Rattus norvegicus: one gene and its partners. The protein of the gene in region 1 interacts with the protein of each later gene in a biochemical or structural test. Links are inferred from orthologs where the notes say so. Each region holds a gene or a part of one and is shown in the gene's direction. Other genes may lie near its edges. The genes, in order: Cdk1, Pbk and Foxm1.

Evidence for each region.
Region 2: the proteins of Cdk1 (region 1) and Pbk form a complex in vitro, tested with the Homo sapiens proteins (2 studies listed by BioGRID and IntAct, with this or other methods). The link is inferred for Rattus norvegicus from reciprocal best matches to the Homo sapiens genes CDK1 and PBK.
Region 3: of the proteins of Cdk1 (region 1) and Foxm1, one has a biochemical effect on the other in vitro, tested with the Homo sapiens proteins (2 studies listed by BioGRID). The link is inferred for Rattus norvegicus from reciprocal best matches to the Homo sapiens genes CDK1 and FOXM1.

The regions. Positions count from the first base shown.
Region 1 is NC_086038.1:19,270,095-19,277,403, forward strand, and holds part of Cdk1 (cyclin-dependent kinase 1), read left to right. Parts: intron 1-1,611; coding exon 1,612-1,768; intron 1,769-2,736; coding exon 2,737-2,860; intron 2,861-5,327; coding exon 5,328-5,498; intron 5,499-7,309. UniProt on the Homo sapiens protein: Plays a key role in the control of the eukaryotic cell cycle by modulating the centrosome cycle as well as mitotic onset; promotes G2-M transition via association with multiple interphase cyclins.
Region 2 is NC_086033.1:44,203,217-44,210,525, forward strand, and holds the end of Pbk (lymphokine-activated killer T-cell-originated protein kinase), read left to right. Parts: intron 1-769; coding exon 770-912; intron 913-1,525; coding exon 1,526-1,695; intron 1,696-2,820; coding exon 2,821-2,950; intron 2,951-4,957; coding exon 4,958-5,134; intron 5,135-5,562; coding exon 5,563-5,804; 3' UTR 5,805-6,354; downstream 6,355-7,309. UniProt on the Homo sapiens protein: Phosphorylates MAP kinase p38. Seems to be active only in mitosis. May also play a role in the activation of lymphoid cells.
Region 3 is NC_086022.1:163,322,455-163,329,863, forward strand, and holds the start of Foxm1 (forkhead box protein M1), read left to right. Parts: upstream 1-3,173; 5' UTR 3,174-3,335; intron 3,336-5,376; 5' UTR 5,377-5,420; coding exon 5,421-5,925; intron 5,926-6,744; coding exon 6,745-6,896; intron 6,897-7,409. UniProt on the Homo sapiens protein: Transcription factor regulating the expression of cell cycle genes essential for DNA replication and mitosis. Plays a role in the control of cell proliferation. Also plays a role in DNA break repair, participating in the DNA damage checkpoint response.

The DNA.
Region 1 (7,309 bases):
CTTGTCTGACACGTTTTAAAATTCAGTGTGTGGGTGTGTGCATTTGTACAGGTGTGCATAGCCCATGGAGGCCAGAGATGTCGCCTCTTCTGGAATTGGATTTACAGGAGGCTGTGAGCCTCGTGTGGGTATTGGTCCTTTGCAAGGGCAGTGTGGTCTAAACCCTGAGCCATCTCTCCGGCCTTGTTAACTTAAAATACTTCAGAATCTGAATATTTAATTTCAGAGCATTTAGTTTAGCTTGTGAATAGTGTGCTTTCCTTAGCCCTGTTTCGGTAGTTCCTTGAGAAGAGCCAGGAGTTGAGAGACAAGCAGGTCTGTGTTGTCTAAGAATCAACAGTTACTGGGTGGTGGCTGCCAATCGTGGCTCTGCACATTAGTCAAGAACGCAGTAGGGCACCGGGAGGAACCAAGATGTCAGAAGGAATCCTGAATTCACTGTTAACTTATTTGATCTTTTAGATACCTTACTAATTGACTTCTTTGATAAAATCATCTTGCTAATGGCTTAGCTGCTTGTGCCTGTCAGACAAGCATGGTTTCCACCATTAAGGAACACGTGAGCTCTGCAGACAGAATGTTGTCAGTTCTTTTTATCTGGAATTGCATGGTTATTTAATCAACCTAGCATTTGGTCAAAACAGTAAGGATTTTATTTGAAGTAATATTATTAAACTAACTGGTGTTTAGGAAAACACACTGTCCTGGAATTTAAGGGATGGCGGAACAGAGCTTCCGGGGACAGCAAGCTGCTTGCTGTTGTAAGCATTGGCCACTGGGCTGGATTCTTAGAGCGAGTAAAGGCTGTAGAGAAGCTTGTCTCCAACCTGGAATCCTCCTTCCTGAGTCTTACAAGCAGCTTGAGGATAGCTGTGTGGATAGCTCTGCTGTGAGTACAGCTCTGTGGCACCAGGCCTGGGGTTAGGGTCAATGCTGAAGTGACACCGATGTCATGAGAAGCTTTTCAACAAAGGCTTTACAGCGAGGGCCTTCAGTGCCTAGAGACTAGCATGGGTGTGAGAGAGCTGATAGCCCACCTCGATGTGTCTGCCGCACCCCAGTGTCTCTTCTTACTGCCATTGCTGTTCCTGTGACACTTGTGTTTTCCACATTCCCAGAGCTTAGGAAGCTTCCTCCTCTGGTAGATGATAGCAGCTTTATTGGGTTTAATAAAAATGTGCGGTGTTTCTGTCTCCACTCTGCTGGGTGAGGAGTGTTGACTGCATTTTGAGATATGTGTTGTAAAAGTATCAAGGGAACCCTAAGTCAGTACAGTTTTGTGAAAGTCTCACAGAGCCCCTCTCGGTACTGTTTCCCAGTCTTAAGTTTATGTAGCGTTTAACTACATAGCAGGATGTTTGATCGGTGAATTGCAACTCGTAGGAGATCCATGTTCCTGTGCTGGGTTGTGAAGCAAGCTTACCTGGGAGACTTAGGGTGACTCAGTGACTTTTATCTCTAAACCATGTGTGTGTTTGCGTGTAGTCATCTTCATTTCCTTTTTGAAAGTAGTTAATATGTGTGAGGTGACCTATCTGACCGCAGCCAGCATTTCTCTCCTGGGCCCCTCAAAGAGCTCAACTTTAAAAGAATCTTTCCGCTTTATTTCAGGGACTTATGGTGTGGTATATAAAGGTAGACACAGGACTACTGGCCAGATCGTGGCCATGAAGAAAATCAGACTTGAAAGCGAGGAAGAAGGAGTGCCCAGTACGGCAATCCGGGAAATCTCTCTGTTAAAAGAACTTCGACATCCAAATATAGTCAGGTGTGCTGTGTTGGAATTGAACCCATTCTCCCCGGGGCTGCTGCAAATCCATTTTAATGTGGAAAGTTTTCCGCAGTTTCTGGTTCCAGTGGGATGGAGTCCTGCTTGCTTGTTGATTGTGGTGCCAGGAGGAGGTAAAGAGAACCAGATGTTTGGAGAATCTGAGACATGATGCTAGAGTTGGCTGGAGGAGTAAGGTGCAGCCGCGAGACCCCTTCCACGAGAAGCTTGGTCAGCTCCTACTTTTAGGGCCCTGGTCCACAAAGGCCTCTAAGTCCCCAGAGGCTCCTAAGACAAGTAGCTAGGTTGGGGCATGAGGTATCCTATGTTCTGTTGACTCATTTGGGCTGGGTCTTTGAGGAAGCTGTCTAGTGGTTCATTGGAGTTTCTGTTGGCAAGAGGGACTGCACCCAAGGCTTGGGGCATGCTAAGAAAGCTCTCTACCACTGAGCTGTAGCCTCTGGCCTCTTAATTTGGGGTTTTGAATTTTTGAGACAGGATTTTACTGTAGCTCACCTAGATTGGCCTGGAATTTACTGCTGTCCTCTAACTCCCTAGTGCCGGGAATAGGGGTTTAATCCACCACACACCTCCACCCCTCTCACAGAATTACCCAGGTTGCCTTGGGTTCTTTCCACCCCAGGCAGCCTCTGAATTTAGAGGCCCTCAGCCTTAGCCTCTTCAGCGTCTGCCTCTGGTAGCCGCGGTGACAGGCCTCTGCCCCTGGCCTGGGTACTAACTATTGTACTGGGGCTGGGCCTAGGGAGCAGCTATTGAAGTTGGGTTCAACTTTAATGTCCACAAGCATCCAGCTTTGGGAGTGCAGGAGGCGTGAGCCAGCTCCTTCTGCACAGGGAGCTGTAGGTTACTGTCCTGAACTTCCTTCCTCGAGTTCTGTTCAGCACTTGTGTGTGTGGAAGCCGAGGCAGGCAGGGCTGCTTGCTGCACTCACGCCATGCTCTGCTCAGCCTGCAGGATGTACTCATGCAGGACTCCAGGCTGTATCTCATCTTCGAGTTCCTGTCCATGGATCTCAAGAAGTACCTGGACTCTATCCCTCCTGGCCAGTTCATGGATTCTTCGCTCGTTAAGGTAAAGAGTTGTGTACTTTTATTAATACTTAAATGCCCTCTGAGTGTAGACTCCATCCTTGTGTTTTGTGGCTGGATCTTAGAAAACCTGTAAGAAAATAGAAAGCCTCTTCCTTCCTTCCGCCCGGATGACGTCATCCTTTGCCTGTCTTATTTCCAGACAGTTCTAGACGTGCTACCCTATGGACTATATATTACATTGCTGGGGGCAGGACAAGGCTGCAGCAGTTCCGTGCAGATCAGTGACACCAGCCTGAACCTAGCGCTGATGCTAGGTGATCTTACTCTGTGAAAAATACGCTTTGGTTGATGTAAACATTTTATTTCAGTTAAAATATAAATGTATGTATTGGAGTTGGGGATTTAGCTCAGTGGCCCTGGGTTCAGTCCCCAGCTCCGAAAAAAAGAAAAAAAATAAATGTATGTATTACTCTTTGTGTGGGGGACTGGGTATTTGATCCAGGGCATTGTGCATAACTGGGCAAGCGCCTTTCTCAGCAAATGTGTGCAGGCTTTAAATGTCTGTAGTAAAGGAGTCTTAACCTTAAAGCAGCTTTATTCTCCCCTGAGCTGTGTCCATGCCTTGAGACTTTTCATGTTGGCTTTGTATATGCGTCCGACCACAGTGGGGTTGTTATGTGTGCTGCACACGAGTTAGCCCTCTCATGTCTCTGTTTTGTAATGGTTTAATCATTTTCACAGTTACTACGCCATTTCCACTTGTTACTTCCTCCTTTAGTGATGGCTGTTCTTCGTGAATCCTCAGGAGCGCTGGGGGTTCTTTCTGTAGCCCAGGCTGCCTAACCCTCCAACCTTTTTCTCCCAGGGATGGAGATTACAGGCATGGGCCACCAAGCCCACCACTTTATGTGATTTTAGAGATAAATCCTTGGAACTAGGATAAAATAAGTGCTTATATTTAAGATCTTGCTGAACAGGGCCATATGGCCTCTAAAAGTCAATTATTTATTACATTGTTACCAAGACTCACCATATGTATCTTTTAAATAGTCTCAGTATATTATGTGAAGGGCTTTGTTACAGTTACTCTATTTGACATTTATATACTGTGTCTACTCATTTATGCACACCCTGCCTGAACATATCGCTCAACTTTCTGTATGAGGATGTGGGTCAGCGAGTTCAAAGGTCATTTTACTGACACACGGTGATTTGCTAGTGGTGCCAACCATTGCTGGTGCTTACACTGTGTATGACTTAGTCGGGCTCAGTGTTGGCTGTGATGAAGGCTATTGGCCATAGCAACTTGGGGAAGAAAGGGTCTCAGAAGGAAGTCAGGATAGGAGCTCAAGCAAGACAGGATCCTGGAGGCAGGAGCTGATGCAGAGGCCATGGAGGGGTGCTGCCTACTGGCTTGCTCCCCATGGCTTGTTCAGACTTATTTCTTATAGAACCCAGGACCACCAGCCCAGGGATGGCACCACCCATGGTGAGCTGGGCCCTCTCCCATTAATCACTAAGAAAATGCCTTACAGGCGGTACAACCTAATCTCCTGGAGGCATTTTCTCAATTGAAGCTCCCTCTCCAATAACTAGCTTGTGTTAAGTTGACATAAAACTGCCCAGCACAATATTCTTAATGGGTTTTTTTGGACCTTGTTTTGTTGAAGGCATAATATATAAGATCACATGTATTAGAATAATGCCAGTATTTTCCTGCCCTCTCCTACCTCCTAACTTTTCTTTGAGATTCCTTTTGCTTTAAGAGTAGAGGGCTTGGGGGGATCTCCTGGGAAAATGCTCATGGTACAAGCGTGAGGAGCTGAGCCTCTATCATCTAGAAGCCCAGAGTGGGAAGGACAGAGGCAGGGACAGGGGGGAGTGGCTCTGTTGTGTCTCAGGGACTACTGGCCAGCCAGCTTGGCTAAAATGGTGAGCTTCAGGTTTAATGAGAAATATTATCTCAAAAACAAAGGTGGAAGCAATAGAGGAAGACGCTGATTTCCACCTGTGACCTGGGTACCTACATGGGTGTGAGCTCATACACACATAGGATAGTGAGCAGTGTGTGTGTGCGCTTGTGCACACATTAGAGAATTAGGTTATCAATAAACTTTTACAAAGGCCCAGTTTAAACTGTTTTACATATTTCTCTGTTGTCTCCAAAGAGGAAATGCATGTGTAAGTGACAGAAATGGGGGGAAAAATTTTATTTAGGATAGAAGCAGTTGACACGAGTGTGTTGAGGAAACTTCTGCACAGAAAGCTAACTTTTGACTTAAAGACAGGGAACAAAATTTTAAATGCTCCTGTGGGATACATCTTTTGATAACACGCACACTGCATGTGTAAACAGGTTTCCTGTCTGCCTGTTTTATGTTAGTCTAAAGAGGCCTAAAATGTCTTGTGATAGCTATCTCTGCGTCATAATTTATTTTTTTCAGAACTTTTTCCTCTAGGAATCTTGTAGAATGATCAAGTTTCCGACTTGCTTGTTTCTTTTCTAGAGTTACTTGTACCAAATCCTCCAGGGGATTGTGTTTTGTCACTCCCGACGAGTTCTTCACAGAGACTTGAAACCTCAAAATCTATTGATTGATGACAAAGGAACAATCAAACTGGCAGATTTCGGCCTTGCCAGAGCGTTTGGAATACCGATAAGAGTGTACACACACGAGGTGAGCAAAGCCCTGAGATTGTGGTTGCTGGAGTGCTGCCTCTGGTCTTTAAGCCAAGAAAGAAATACTTGGTTGAAAAAAGTGTCTGCAGCTAAGCAGTGGTAGTGCACACCTTTATTTAATCCCAGCAGAGGCAGAGGCAGAGGCAGGAGAATCTCTTTGAGTTCAAGGCCAGCCTGGTCTACAGGGCATAGTCAGGCCTACACAAAGAAACTATGTCTCAGAAGACCAAAAAAAAAGTTCTGTAGTATCAGTTTATTGCTTTTTTTTATTATCAATCCGCTCTCGTTTATGTGGACTATAGAGATGGAATCTTTGGCATCGTTTGTCAGGGGAGATTGATTGCTGCCTCAGCCTCAGGGAAGGGGTTTATTGTAGTTTTTGGGAGTTCTCATTTCTCTGTATTGACCTTTCCCAGACCTGTGCTCCCTCCTGATTGGACCCTGCTGTGGTCATTCAGATCAATTAAAAAGCAGGTTTTGCTGTCTGAGGTACTGTGATTAGATTTAGGAGCCAATTAGTGCTAGCGGAGGGAGCACTGGGGACCGAACCCCAGCCTGTGCTGCCCGGATGTTCTGTCACTGAGCTGTGCCCTTGGCCTGTCATCAAGCTTTGTCAGTGGGATCTTGATGGCTGGCATCTCATATGATTGCTCTGTTTTATTATTTCCTCTGTAGTGGGGTTTGATCCACAGGCCTCACACACTCTGCCCCCTGAACTGTGTTCCTGCTCCTTGTTTTGAGAAAGTCTCACTGACTTGCCCCGGCTGGCCCTGAGGTCACTGGAGTGGATAGACTTTGGCCTTGGGACTCCTGCACTGGCCTTCCCAGTAGCTGGGATTGTAGGTCCACACCACCAGACTGGGTTTCTCTGGTATTTCTGGAAGGGCGTTGACTTAGGAACATTGGCGCCCGGGGAGTTGTGAACCTGGAGTTAGAGGGTCGGTCCCTCCTTGTGTCCTTGGGTTTTTGAGGCAGAGTTCTCTGTAGCCTTAACCGGCCTCATTGACTGGGTAGCTACCTGCTTCCGGCCTGCCTGCTTCCTGGGTGCTAAAACTGCACAGACGTGTGCCCTGCCGTGCCTGCTCAAGGCTGTGCAGGGCTCTGGTCCTGCACATGCTGCGTGATAGGGAAGCTCTCCACCCACTGTACTGGGGTGGCCTCTGTCTTGTCTATTCCATTTTATTTTTTTCACAGTTTATTACCATGACAGTTTGATGGCCGTAACTGCTGCTGACCTCATTGGTCACAGAGGTCGTAGATTCACTATTTTTTTTTTTTTTTTTTTTTTTGGTTCTTTTTTTTCGGAGCTGGGGACCGAACCCAGGGCCTCGCGCTTCCTAGGTAAGTGCTCTACCACTGAGCTAAATCCCCAGCCCCAGATTCACTATTTTGATAAATAAACTAATTAGTTCTAAATCACTAATCAACTGGGTCCCACCCACTTTGGCTTGGCTTAGCTTTTTTTTTTTTTTCCCTCTTTTTTGGAGCTGGGGACCGAACCCAGGGCCTTGTGCTTGCTAGGCAAGCGCTCTACCACTGAGCTAAATCCCCAACCCCTGGCTTAGCTTTCTTATTCATGGTAATTGGAGCTACCATTACGTGTAAACGTAATGCACACTTTGTCCAGCATCTTTCCTAAACCATATATTACTATTTAGTGCTTTTTCTTTAAGTTGAAAAAGAAAGTTGTTTTGTCTATCTGTCTGTCTGGCCTCAAACTCACAGAGATCCACCTTCCTCTGCCTCCAGAGTGCTGGCGTGCTGGGATAAAGGTGTGTGCCACCCGGGTGTGTACCCAGTCAGGCAAAA
Region 2 (7,309 bases), on another chromosome or scaffold:
TAGCTTAATCATTTTCCTTTTGGTTCTATAAGGAGACAAAGTGGTAGAAAGATCCGAGAACGCAGCGTTGAGTGTGGTGAACAGGTGGAGAGTGTTCCATGTGGAGCTGAAGTAGCTGATAGAGGAGAGGAGAGGCTAGGGATGGGGAACCACAGTCACTGGCTCTAGGGAAGGGAGAGTCACTTCTCTTTAGGGATGCAGGCCCAGAGAGGCTACCCGTGCACTGAGTGGACTCGGTGGGCCTAAAAAATAAAAACACATGAAGTTAGGAGGGAAGTAGTGGTGGTGGAATAGAAGAGGAGCTGGAGGAGAGGGAGTGGGAAGTAGATTTGATCAAAACAAATATGTGTGAAATTTCAAATTATAATAAAAGAATAGAATTCTATTATATAGAAACTCTAAATTTTCAATATTAATTAAAGCATGTCATAAATCATCTCTGATACATATTGATAAACATTGATTAAATAGTAGGCTGACATGCCAGGATAGAAATGTTAGAAAATAGTGTAGCAGTTCTAAAGTTTAATTGTACTTTGATAAGTTCCTAACAGTCCATCCTTATTTTTGTCCTTTAATCCCTTCTCAGAGCATAGATATCTTATCAGGTTCTGATTAAATGTTGACACTGATTTACTCGAAGCAGAAATGTAACAAGTGCTGACCAGCTAAAGAAATACTTTTAAAAACCTATTTCTATGGAGCAAAATTTGAGTGTTGGTGTTTCTTATTTGTTTTGTATCACTAAGTTTACATATGTATGTTTTAGATCTCCGAGAGGGTTGTCCCATTCTCCTTGGGCTGTGAAAAAGATAAATCCTTTATGCGATGATCATTATCGAACTGTGTATCAGAAGAGACTAACTGATGAAGCTAAGATTTTAAAAAACCTTAATCACCCAAACATTGTAGGTAAGTCTACATTTACTTTGTGGCAATATGTGGTAAGCAATGTTCTGTATAGTATCTGGTTTTGCTAATAATGTTGGGTCTACACGTTGTTGGGGAAAAGTTAATGTGAGTTCACATAAGGGGCTGGAGAGATGGATCAGTAGGTAAGAGAACCTATCATGCTTGCCGAGGACTCAGGTTCAGTTCAGGCATGCATGTGGTGCACATATAAACATGCAGGCAAAATATAAAATAAATAAAAAAATATTTAAAATGCACATATTTTAGATCTTTAAGTATTTGTATTTAACCTTCATGGAGTTGGGTTGGAAGTAGTTGTTTTAGTGCTGGTTCTGAGATTTCTGGGATGTAGAATGGTCTTCATGTAGACCATTCATGTTCATTTAGATGGATTCTTGTGCTGTTTCCACTTTGCATTTTTGATACTAATGAGGCTGGTGGAATCATTGTTTACAGAAGCATAGTAAAGTATTTTGATCTGTGCTGCTAGACACACCCGAAGGCATCTGAATTATGCCTCTGGGCTTTGTAAACAGTAGCTGCTTCACTGTGATAGTCCAGGTACATGTTACATTATGAAGAGTTTAATAGAGAAATGTTATTTTTTCTTAAGGCTATCGTGCTTTTACTGAAGCCAGTGATGGTAGTCTGTGCCTTGCTATGGAGTATGGAGGTGAAAAGTCTCTGAATGACTTAATAGAAGAGCGGAACAAAGACAGTGGAAGTCCTTTTCCAGCAGCTGTAATTCTCAGAGTTGCTTTGCACATGGCAAGAGGGCTAAAGGTAACTATTTCACTGGATTTTAAACAGCTTTGGTGAACTATGAAGAAATGAACATGTGTTGTACCTATTTTGTTTGCTGTGCTTTTGGATAGGTAGAAGATAAGGGAAGAAAAGAAATGGATACATAGCTGGGCACTGGTGGCACATGCCTTTAATCCCAGCAGGCAGGAGGCAGAGTTTTGAGGAAATGGCTACAGAGAAATTCTCTCTGGGGGTTGGGGGGATTATATTAAATACTGGTAATAGTGACTCTAGAGAACTACTTGCAGTGTAATAATAGAGATGTTAGGGTTACATGTTAAGGTTTCATAGGAAATTGGTTTTTGGAGCAGATTGAGAAAAAACATTTTAATTATAATTTTTAGTACATTTTTAGATAACTTTAGATAAGATAGAGCTGGCGTGGTGATACACACCTTTAATTTCCAGCATTTGGGAGGCAGAGGCAGGTGGATCTCAAGGCCAGGGAGTTCAAGGTCAGCAGGGTGAGTTCCATGACAGCCAAAGGATAGCAGCATCCGAATTACTCACTGACTCATGACTTGAAGTATGTATATATAAGGAAATGAATAAATGACAGTGTAACCATGTTGGGGCCTCTTCACCACATGATAGGCTGCATTTGAAATAAGGCAGATCACAGCAAGAATGGCCTCTCATTTCACAGTTAGGCTCACAGTGTAGTACTCAAATGCTGCCAAATGAACAGACAGCCATTGTGCAGCACTGTTCAAAATGTGACTATAATTGTTTGCAACCCAAGAAGTTAATGTATAAAACATAATATAGCTTTGCATTACATTTTTGCTTCTGCTTATGAATTATGGTGGCCCCATCTCACCTGCTTTTCTTGTATTATATCAAAGTTGAGGTAAGTTGTGAAGATTCTGAAATTAAGTCTAGAACTACTGGCCGGCCTCAAGTGAATCTGGTGTTTGGAAATCTTCTGGATAGAAAATTATCTGGGCTTTGAGAATTCAAACATCTTTAAGAAAATTTTTAGAGGACGTGGCATGTTCCCTTCCTGGCTTCAAATACTTGGACAAGTCTAGTTACAAAGCCATTGTTTTAAGAGTTTTTATTCATTTTTCTACTAATGTATTGGATTGCTTTTTCCAATTTTAGTATCTGCATCAGGAAAAGAAGCTGCTGCATGGAGACATAAAGTCTTCAAATGTTGTAATTAAAGGTGACTTTGAAACAATTAAAATCTGTGATGTAGGAGTCTCTCTGCCATTGGATGAAAATATGACTGGTAAGCAGCACTGTTTTAAATTCATACAACTTTGCATTGTAAACATAATAAACCTACATGGTTTAAAATTAACTTTCTCAAAAGTGTATAATAGAGTGTCTTTGCTCCTTCCCTTGCCACATGAACACTTACTGACTTCTTGGTAGTAATTTTTTGTTTTTGATTTGTTTAAATACGTCAGTTGAGGATGGCCTTGGGCTCACAGGCCTCCCAGCCTTCAGCCTGTGGCCACACTGGCCCTAATAGCCTGGATTGTAACTGAACAACTATAGGCAAGACGTGCCCACTAGGTTAGAGCTTCCCCAGCTCCTGGGCATTCTTATTTAATCATGCTAAATAGGATCAACTATTCCATCTTCCCTTTTCTCTTCAAATGTTTCTTTCTTTACTTGTAATTTTATTGAAAGCCTCAAAATAGAATTTAAGATTAGCTTTGATTAAACTGCTTGTTTTTCTCTCCTGTTTGGAATGAGTTAAAAGCATTTTGTTTTCAATTGTATCCTTATTTGTGTGAAAATGGAGATTATAGTAATGAAATACTGAAAAATTAATACACTTTAAAACTATCCAGTGAATTTGACTTATCTTAGTTACAGAATAGTTTTTAAACTTGTAAAGCAAATTCTGCCTTAAGGAAGATATCTTAGGTATAATACTTTACCAGAAAAAGGAATTAAATTAGAAACTACAAACAAAATATCCAGGAGAGCCTTGGATATTTGGAACTTGAACAATGTAAATTTATGTAATTATAGAACGGTATTTAGATCACAGAGAATTGATTCATAAACACTAGTAGCTATTAGTGATTATGTTAAAAAAAGACAAAACTTGCCCCCACTGGCTTCATTTCTTTGTCAGCCAGGAAAGGAAGAGCAGAGTCTGTGAAAGAAATAAGGACAGGAACAGAAGTCAAGAAAAACAAATCCTGAAAAATGTTAGTAATAAAACCAAAAGCTGGATCCTTGGGAAAATAAAAATTCTCACCAAGATTGAGAAGAGAGAGATACTAGGCATGAAGAGGGTCTCAGCTGCATGCTCCACACATTTGTAAGGATGGCTACAGATAGCTGTATTCCACCAAGTTGTGAGCATAGATGAAAATGATTATTTCCTAGAAAAATATATTATCAAAAGAACTAGGAAGGCCAAAAATCTCTGTCTAGTAAAGAGACAATCCTATAAAGACTTTTACATGGTTGATTTTAGAAGAAAAGTGGTACTAGAATGACTGAAGTTACCAATTATATTCCTATATATTAGTAAAATAATAGAATGAAAACTTAAAAATTCCATGTATAAAATCCCAAGATATTTAAAAATCTGAGAATTAAAAAAAATGAATAAATCCATATAAGTTTAAGTCTCTAATCTGGAAGCCCTAAAGCATCATTAGGAGGGAACTAGATGGAGAAAGGTCTCTGTATTAGAAAACTGTTAATGTGGCATAGCACACCTGGAAGCACTGAAGTGTCATTCGTCTCTCGAACTCCGACTCTGCTGCTTGCAGAAGACCCAGGGCCCAGACTTGAAGTGCCTGCAGTGTCACACAGGCCAAGCAAGGCGTGCATCTGTACTCTTTATATTTCTATCACCGGTTAATTGAGACGGTTTATTTGTGTAGCTTTGGGCTGGCCTTGAGATCAACCTGCCTCTTCCTCTTTTTTTTTTTTTTTTTTGGTTCTTTTTTTTTTTTCGGAGCTGGGGACCGAACCCCGGGCCTTGCGCTTCCTAGGTAAGCGCTCTACCACTGAGCTAAATCCCCAGCCCCCTGCCTCTTCCTCTTGAGTGCTGGAATCACAGGCTCGAACCACCACTACCTGGTTGAACTGTTTTCTTACATTCCCACCAACTGATGAGATTTTTTAATACTTGCCAGTCTGATAGAGACAGATTCTTTATAGTGAGGTTGAATATAGTGATTAACCTCTGAACTCCCCAAATGGGTTTTGCTTGTGTTGTTTTGTTGGTTGCTCTCATGACTATTCTACTTGCATTTTGTTTTAGTGACTGATCCTGAGGCCTGTTATATTGGTACTGAGCCATGGAAACCCAAAGAAGCATTGGAGGAAAATGGCATTATTACTGACAAGGCAGATATGTTTGCTTTTGGCCTTACTCTTTGGGAAATGATGACTTTATGTATTCCACACATCAACCTTCCAGATGATGATGATGATGAAGGTATAACCACAAATAGGTTTTAACATAAATCTGAATTCCTTCTAGTAGATTAGTGCATACAATTGTCTTTCTGCTAAATCAAAATTTAGAGTTAAGATTATAGCAATACTGTGATTGGCTAGATTTAATCCTATATAAATGAGATAGACTGATAATAGGAAGATAAGGGTATTCCTCTCCCCACTCATGGGTTCTTATTTTTTCTTAAACAGTTTTACATTAGGTGGGTGGGGGTATCTAGTTGAATAGTTTAACATTTTGGAGAGAAAATAGCTAAACTCTGTGGCAGGAGATTTGGACAGACAGCCTGTGGTATATAGGGGAATGTGTACTGGATAACCCCCTCCTTGCAGGAGGGTAAATCATTGAGCTATTCCATGACCAACTTGATTTTGCTTGTTTTCATCTCTTACCTCCCTCATGTGCAGATGCAACATTTGATGAGAGTGACTTCGATGATGAAGCTTACTATGCAGCTCTGGGGACAAGACCATCCATCAATATGGAAGAACTGGATGAATCCTACCAGAAGGTCATTGAACTCTTCTGTGTGTGTACTAATGAGGATCCTAAAGATCGCCCATCTGCTGCACACATCGTTGAAGCTTTGGAACTAGATGGCCAATGTTGTGGTCTAAGCTCGAAGCATAGCTTGTATGGGAACTGTTAACTAGATGTATTTATTTAGCTAATATAACTTATAGTAGCTAGATTCTAGAAGTAGCTTATTTTAAGACCATTGTACATAGTTAATAATTGTATAACCTTCTGACATGTTATTTCCTATATATGCATTTATTGTACTGGATAGTCTTTGAAGTTTAAAAAACTCTCCAGGTATCTAGATGCTGCTGCCCCTACTGATTTAAACACTAGTGACCTCTGTTCTAAGATGACTTAGAATCAAGGGACCATTGCTTTGTTAAAGACCGTTTTAGATATTCTTGCTTCTTTAATGGGTTACTAAAAATTTCACTATACACACAGTACAGTTAATTGTCTGCTCATAGTGTCCACCTTTTAGTTGGCCTGTTGGCCCATGTGCCCTGAAGCTTAAGAGCTTGGTGCAGAAGCATAGCCCCTAGAATGTTTCAGACCCTGGTTACTGTCTTGCCTCTCTCCACTCCTTAGCATCTAATTTACTTTGTTTTTACTGACTGTATACGAAGTCTTCTAAAAGCTATGTAAGAATAAACAATAAAAACAGTTTTAGTACCAGGCATCTCAGCATTATCTTCTGTTTTTGTTGATGTGTTAACCATTAGATTTGTGGAGTGAATGTGACTTCTTTCTCTCAACCTTGTTTTCTTATGTATAAAGTGAGGTTAAATTGTGTCAATTGTTTTGAGTCATAGCTCCTTGCAGTTACCAGAACTTACACCACCTGGTTTCACCATTTAGTTCTCTACCTTGGCAACAAATAGGAAGCATTAATTTCTAGAATTTCCTGGTAGGTTCCTCTTAGGAGTATACCAAACAGATCACTAATTAGCATATTGTTCATCTAAACAGTAGGAAAGTGACATCAAACTGAAAATTTACTTATGGAAAAATTGTTAAAGTGTGCACACAGGGACTCAGCCTTATCTGCTCCTTCTCTGATGTGTCATTTTAAATAGGTTTGCCCAAGTGACAGGTTCTACTTACTGGCCATAAAGCATGAATTGGCTCAAACATATACACTGGCACTTTGAGAGATATTCCCTGTAGACACCCCATTTTTCACATATCACTTTATATCACTGTACCTGTCACAATAAACCAGTACTGAAATGCAATTCAACTCCATACTTTATTCAGATGTACTGTTCAGTGACTTTTTCTGTTCCAAGATCCCATTCAAATGCCACACTTCAGGATGTCATGACCCTTTGACTAAATTTCAAACTTTTGTTTTTCATTGCTTTTGAGTCTTAGGGTATGGTGGTTATATATTTTGTACAACTGGGACTTGTCTTGAGGTTTAGTTCATGTTCACATGGAATTATACTTGAGAAAGGTAAATACCTTTCTGATGTAGCAAACCAAATCTCAACACAGTAGCACTGGCTGTTGCTATTGTCAGCAGGGTACCTGCTAGTGTGATGCTCATTTTCCTCCTTTCCATTGCTATACTCTAATGCGCAGTCTGCCTTAGGACTTAACTGTTGTCCACAATTCATTTTTTGGTATGGA
Region 3 (7,409 bases), on another chromosome or scaffold:
AAAGATGGGCAAGTACTTATTCACAGTACTGAGTACTAAGTACCTGTAGTGACACAGAGGTCCCTGCTTTTGAGGCACTGTGGTACAGCACTTGCCTAATGTGCACAAAGCTGCAGGTTTCAGTCCCCAGAACTGCAAATGAGGGAACCGTGGAAAGGAAGAAGGAAAGGAAGAGGAAGAGAGCTAACCAGAAGGAAACAATCACATCTCAGTATAGCACAGTCCGCTTCAGTTCTCGTCAGAGAAGGCTTTCTGGGTAGGAAGACACTTAACCTGTGGAAGGAACCAGGAGAAGCAAAAGCCAGGAAGGTCACTGGAGGCTGAGGTGCACCACATGCAAAGACCGTTACAGAGGGCTTGGGGGCACATGCTAATTAGCACACCTGAGGCAAGAGATCTGGAGTTCAAGTCAAGCTTGGGCTGCACACAAAAAGCTCTCAAAAGCCAAACCAAACCAGATGCGGTGGGGCGTGCCTAGGATCCCAGCCCTAGGGAAGGGAGACAGGAGGATCAGGAGGCTCAAGGTTGCCTTTGGCTAGTGAGAGACCACCCTGAGTCACGTGAAACCTTAAACAGCCAAAACGCTGTTTTGTGAATTCAGAGAATCACAAGGTCATTGCAGACTGAGTGAAAGATAGCTCAGCAGTAAAAGAACTTGCCTCAAAAACCAAGGGCTTGAGTGTGTTCTCCAGAACTCACAAGAACTCGGAAGGCCGAAACTAATTCCCAAAAGATGTCCTTTGACATCCACATGTGTGGCATGTGTGTCCTCACAGGCATGTGTCCTCACACACAATGTCACTATCTATGAGGATGTGACTATCTAGCTAACAAAATAAAAAAGGAAAAGAGGCTAGGTGTAGGTGAGGTGGTAACATCCATCTCAAATCCCAGCATTCAGGAGCAGATTTCTCTGAGCTGGAGGTCAACCTGATCTATTTAGTGAGCTCCTTGCTAGTGGGGGATACAAAGTGAGACCCTGTTTTTAATAAAAGTTTTAAAGGATAAATGACAAAAAAAATAATATTAAACATGGTGTCAACATTGAGTCTGAAAACCAAGTGAGGCCACATGAGAGTGGGGTGGGGGTTGAGTAATCAATCATTACAGAATTTCAGATAGAAGCTTAGGCTCACATCTAGGTTTTGTTAAAAGACAAACAAACAACCAAACAACAAAAAAAACAGCCCACAGATTCTCTAGAACATAAAGAGGGGTCAACTGAGTTACGGGATGAGCCCCATGTACTTAGTACCCAGCTGGTTCAATCCTGACCATATATGATCTATTAGTTTCCCCTATCTTTCCCCTTGCATGATTTTGAAAAAAATGCATTCCTTTCAGTTTTCAGATTGAACCTCAGGCCTCAGCGTGTTAGGCGATAACGGTACCACTCGGCTGTATACCAGTCGTCTTATTGTGAGACATGGTCTTGCATAGCCTCGCCTGGCTTCAAATACACTGTGTAGTCTCCACCTCCCAAGTGCTGGTTCCCAAGGCATGCCCCACTGTTTTAGGTGCTTTTTCTGTTGCCATCATAAAATTCCCTGGAAGGCAAGTGAAGGAAAGAGGGGCTTATTTTGGTTCACAGTTCCAGGGTAGTCCTTTGTTGCTGGAATCATAGCAGCTGGGCACATCCCTTTAACAGGCAGGAAGAAGATGAACTCTCCTGCTCGGCTAGCTTTCTCTCTTTAGTCAGTCCAGGCCCACAGCCCATGAAATTGGGCCATATCCCACCCATCTCTGTCTAATCTAGATAAGCTCTTATATACTTACCCAAACAAAATCTAAGTCAGGTTTTGCACAATCTTGGCCTTTTTTTTTTTTTTTTAATTTTGAGATAGAGTCTTACTATGTAGCCTTGGCTAGCCTGGGGCTGGCTATGAATACCTGGCTGGCCTGGAATTCACAGAGATCCGCCTGCTTCTGCCTCCTGGGTGCTGGGATTAAAGGCGTGAGCCACCACATTCTGGTGTCAGTGAAAACCCACCAGCCTCTAACCTGTTCACCTCTCAAACACAGTCTTTATCTGCTCCCCATCTCATAGCATACCACGCCCCCTAAGTCTTAGTTCAAATCCCTGTGACCTTCAGCCTTTGTGTTCACCAGCCTAGCCTCCTCCAGTCAAAACATCTCCCTTCTTTTTTTTTTTTTTTTTGGTCTTTTTTTCGGAGCTGGGGACCGAACCCAGGGCCTTGTGCTTCCTAGGCAAGCGCTCTACCACTGAGCTAAATCCCCAGCCCCAAACATCTCCCTTCTTAATCTAGCTGCTTCAATGTTTCCTTCCCTTCTGTGTAATGGGTGACAGATCTTACACCTTGTTCTCAGCTCATAAGGAAGGAAGGAAGGAAGGAAGGAAGGAAGGAAGGAAGGAAGGAAGGAAGGAAGGAAGGAAGGAAAAAGAGAGGAAGAAAGAAAGGAAAAAGAAAGGCTTTCCTGCCCTAAGTCAAGATTTTCTCGTTAAAATAAATACTCAAATTTATCACTGGCGGCTGCGGGAGGGCGAGCCAGTGACCCGGGCTACTCCGAAGGCGGAAACACGAGAATCGAGAATTCTACACATGGGGATACCCGGGGTCAGACAAAACCCACCGGCCTCTAACCTGTTCCTCTGTAGCTAGAATTCTACCGATCTGTTCATCTCATTCTGGGCTCCCTCTCCATCAGACCACCGGTGAGCCCAGGGGAAGGACGGCCCGGTCTGCCACTGTACCTTCCACTCTTTCGTAAAGTATGGAAAAAAGATCGTCCGGACACCTCGGGGCTGGGCCCGAGGTGGAGGCGGCCACAGACAGGGGCGGGGCGTAGGGCACTTAACCGCAAGTCTGGGGACAGAAACCCAAGCTGGACCCCACGCAGCAACGAGGGCTGAGCCGCGCGGTGGATCCAGAGGTAGCCCAGTGGGTAGCTAACCGGGGGAGTGGCGTACGCTGCCCCGGAAGGAAGTCGACCACGGAGGCAGGGCGGTCCGGGGCGGGGCGGAGCAGGCTGCTGGCCGCGGTCCGCGCGTCCCCGCGTCCCTCCCGCCGTCCCTCGAGCTCCGGGGCCCCCTTACCCGCCCTCCCGGCCGCGGCCGCCGCTCCTCAGGACGCCGAGCGTTCGGGGCCGGAACCCGGAGACAAGCCGGTGCCGATTGGCGACGCTCCGTCACGTGACCGCAACGCTCCGCCGGCGCCAATTTCAAACAGCGGAACAACTGAAAGCGGCGCTGCGGGACCCACCCCCGGCCCGGGCTCACCCCCCACCCCGCCCCGGGTTCCCACCCCGGCCGTCCCGCCGGGACCCGCCCGCCCTGGCCTGGCTCGGCCCCGCGTGGAGCAGCGGTGGCCTGTGAGGTGAGTGGGGTGCGACCCGGTCCGGGGAGGGCTTGGAGTCGGGACTGCCGGGGCTGTGGGGCGCGAGGGGGTGTTGAGGACCGCCAGGAAGAAAGTCTGAGCCGCCGGCCTCGGCTTTCCCGCCGCGTTCTCCGAGCACCCCGGGACCCTGGGAACAGGCCTGCCCTCTGAGTCTGCACTTGCAGTCAACCCTGCCTCCGCCTCCACAGCTGCAGGGTGGGATCCTAGCTGAGCGTTGCAAGGTTCCCGGTTCTGTGTGGAGAATGGGGTCTTTGGGGATGGCTCTGCAAGTCGCCTTGCGCTAGAAGATTTTGGGAGTGTTAGGAAAAGGCTGGTCAAAGAGAGAGGTACCCTATGGTGGGGGGTGTCTACCATTTGATTGGGGTGGGTGCAGTGTGAAGCAAAACGAGAACTGAGATTTGAAGGTCGAGAGAACGAAGTATAAAGGAGAGAAAGCTACAGGGAGGAAGGGACCTAAGAAGGCTAAGCAGCTGGCAAATGTCAAAAAAGTGTAATTACTTTTTGGAAGGTTTCCTAAAGTGCCGGCTGTTTCTCCCTTTCTCGCAGGATTGCAAAATGGAGTGGCAGGATTTAATTTAATGATAAATTATTCTATCTATCTATAAAAACCTATGAAATGCTTTTTCTAAAGACTTCCTTCCTTAGCATTTCAAAGTGACTTTAGCATAGCCAGGCATAGTGGTGAATGCCTGTAATCTCAGCACCTAGAAAATTGGGGGCCAAAGGCTCAGTGGTTCAAAACCAGCCTGGGCTACATGAGACGCTATCTCAAAAATTAAAGCCACCTTAAGCATATTAATGATAGCACATTTTGGTATGGAGAAGATCTGTATTACAGTCTTTAGAAGCAGAAAAATCAAGTATTATACTTATAAAACTAAAATATAGTTACTCTCAAGTACCAAAATGTCACTGTGCAAATGCTTTGCAGATTTTGAAAGAAAGAATGGGACTGGAGAGATGGCTCAGTGGTTATTGACAACTATTGAAAAAAATTATTTTTAATTCAAGAGGATTGGAGTTTTTAATTGTAGTGTGCTTACCAAGCATTCACAAAGCTCCAGGTTCAATTCCTACCACTACCTAAACCTGGCATTGTAGCCACACCTGTGATTCTGGCAGGTGGAGGCAGGAGAATCAGACGTGTAGGTCAGCTGCATTATTTGAGACGGAAAGAAAAGGGCACTAGGACTATGGCTTGGGTAGAGTCTTTCATTCGTCCCTACAGTCATCGAGAGTGACCTGCATTCTAGTGGACAGTGGCTGGTATTTCCACATTCTTGTAGATGTGTATTCCTCTGGCCAAACATTCAAAAAGAGGTTTTTGCATTTTTACTGGGGCGGGGGTTGGGGAGGAGGGTTGCCCACATGCCACAGCACATGTATGGAGGTTGGAGGGTAACAGTCAGGAGCTGATTCTCTCTTCCCACCATCGTGGTCCTGGGGACTGAATGCAGGTGGCCAGGCTTAGCAGCTGATGGTTTCGGTCATTGAGCCATCTTGCCAGCCTCCCCTCCCTCCCAAATCTTTCTAGTTTGTTTGCCTTTTTGTAGTACTGGGAACTGAACTTAGGGCCTTGCTAAGCAAGCACTCTATTACTAAGCTACATTCTCAGCCTGGCCAAACATTCTTAAGCTTACAGGGGACCATGCACTTCAGTGCAGTCCCATGTTCCCATCTTGAAGTGTTTGCTGCAGTTTTCAGCTTTCCTTGGTCAGTGATAGGGCTTTATTTGTTTGTTCTTGTTTGCTCGTTTGTTTTTGAGACAGGGTCTCATGTGGCCCATGCTGACCTTGAATTCACTCTCTGGCTAAGGGTGACCTTAAACCTTCTAGGTGCTGGGATCACAAGTGTGCATCAAACCTAGCTTCTGTCCTTATTGTCTGAGGGTTGGACAAAGGTCCAGGCAGGATTCCCCTGGGCCTTTGAGCTTCTGCTTCTGTCTGTTCATGCAGAGGAACACTTCCAGTTTGTCTCAGCCCAGCAGATCTGATAGCAAGCTTCTCCTTGCCCTCTGCAGGGTCAAAGCTTGTGATTCTCGATGGAGAGTGAAAGCACAGCTTCATGATGAGAACCAGCCCCCGGCGGCCACTGATTCTCAAGAGACGGAGGCTGCCCCTTCCTATTCAAAATGCCCCGAGTGAAACCTCAGAGGAAGAAGCAAAGAGATCCCCTGGACAGCAGGAGCCTACTCAAGCACAGGCCTCCCAAGATGTGGCAGAGTCCAGCTCTTGCAAATTTCCAGCTGGAATCAAGATTATCAACCACCCAACCATGCCCAACACACAAGTGGTGGCTATCCCCAACAACGCGGACATCCAGAGCATCATCACAGCGCTGACTGCCAAAGGGAAAGAGAGTGGCAGCAGTGGGCCCAACAAGTTCATCCTCATCAGCTCTGGTGGGGCCTCATCTCATCCTCCTGATCCTCAATCTCAAGCCCAAACCAGCACTGATTCCAAGAGAACAGAACTGATCACCGAGACGTTGGGACCAAAGCCAGGGGCTAAGGGTGTGCCTGTTCCCAAGCCACCTGGAGCTCTTCCAAGGCAAAGACAGGAGAGCTGTGGTATGTGGTCTGCAAGGGTGTGGAGGTTGGCTTTTCTCCTCACTGGAAAGGTCTTCAGTGTGTCACACTGATGTCTGTGGTAGGCAGGAATCTAGGAGGAACCAAGAAGAAGGCCTTTTCTTCCTTTATTCTTTGAGCATTGAAACACCTGAGAGCTGTTGAAATGGTTATAGTAATGTAGCTTTCCTGTTGCTCTCTTTATGTTGGAAAAGGGTTGGTTGGTTGATTCATTCTTTGTATTGACATGTGTCTTAGTGACTATTCTGCAACTCTTAGAAAAGAAAGCAACCTTTGCTTATACTTCCAGAGGTTTAGTCCGTTACCAACATGGTGGGAAGCATGGCAGCATGCCAGAGAACACTGGAGCAGCAGCTGAGAGCTACATCCTGACCTGGGCCTAGAGACACAGACCCTGGGCTTCCTCAGCGATAGACTTCCTCTGACAATGCCACACACCCTAATCCTCCTCATTTCAAATATGGGGGCCATTCTTATTCATACTTGTAAGGAAGTAAATTTCCATTTTAAAGAAATAAACCAAAGCCCAGGGAAGAAAAGTGACTTTTTTGTGTAGCTACCAAAATTTGCCTTGACAGATGCCTGAGGTTCCATCTGTCTCATTGAAATACAATTTATTGTTCATGAATGTCTACTGAAGTCCATAATGGAGCAGAATAACTTAGAGCCACAACGATTTACCATGTATTCCCTGTCCCTTAGAACAGGTCTCAGAGGGGTTATCCCCAACCGTTGGTTTTGGTAGAGCTGTAGGGCATCTGAAGAGGCTGCTAATGGAGTCTTGGGTTGTTTTCCCTCTAGCAGGTGGTGAAGCGGCCGGCTGCACACTGGACAACAGCTTAACCAATATCCAGTGGCTTGGAAAGATGAGTTCTGATGGGCTGGGCCGCTGCAGCATTAAGCAGGAACTGGAAGAGAAGGAGAATTGTCACCTGGAGCAGAATCGGGTTAAGGTGAACTGTTTGGAAGTTCTAGTAGCACTACCTAAGGCTTTTCTGTGTGCTGTTTCTTTTAAACATTGTCCTTCTTTTGGAGGTATTGGAGAGTGACTATAGCAGTATAGGCTGGTGGTGGTGGTGCAGGCCTTTAAGGGAGGCAGTGGCAGGCCTGCTCTACAGAGTGAGTTCCGTAACAGCCAGAGAGCCAGAGCTACACAGAGAATCCCTGTTGAGAGAAAGAGAGAGACAGAGACAGACACACTAAGACTGACTGACTATATCTTGCTTGGGCCCTCCTGCCTTGGCCCCTCAGTAACTAGGATTGTGTGTGCCAGCACAGCCACCTCTGTGACTTCTGAGATACTTTACTGTGTGGGACCTCTTACTGTCTCCATCTGTGGCTCATCGAAGGCTCTAGCACTGGGTTTAATATCCTGGGTTTAGTGGCCCTTAGTAAATATTCAGGAAATGATGAAGGTTCTTAGCTAAGCCATTTGGACTTTTTTTTTTTCTTTTAAGATTTATTTA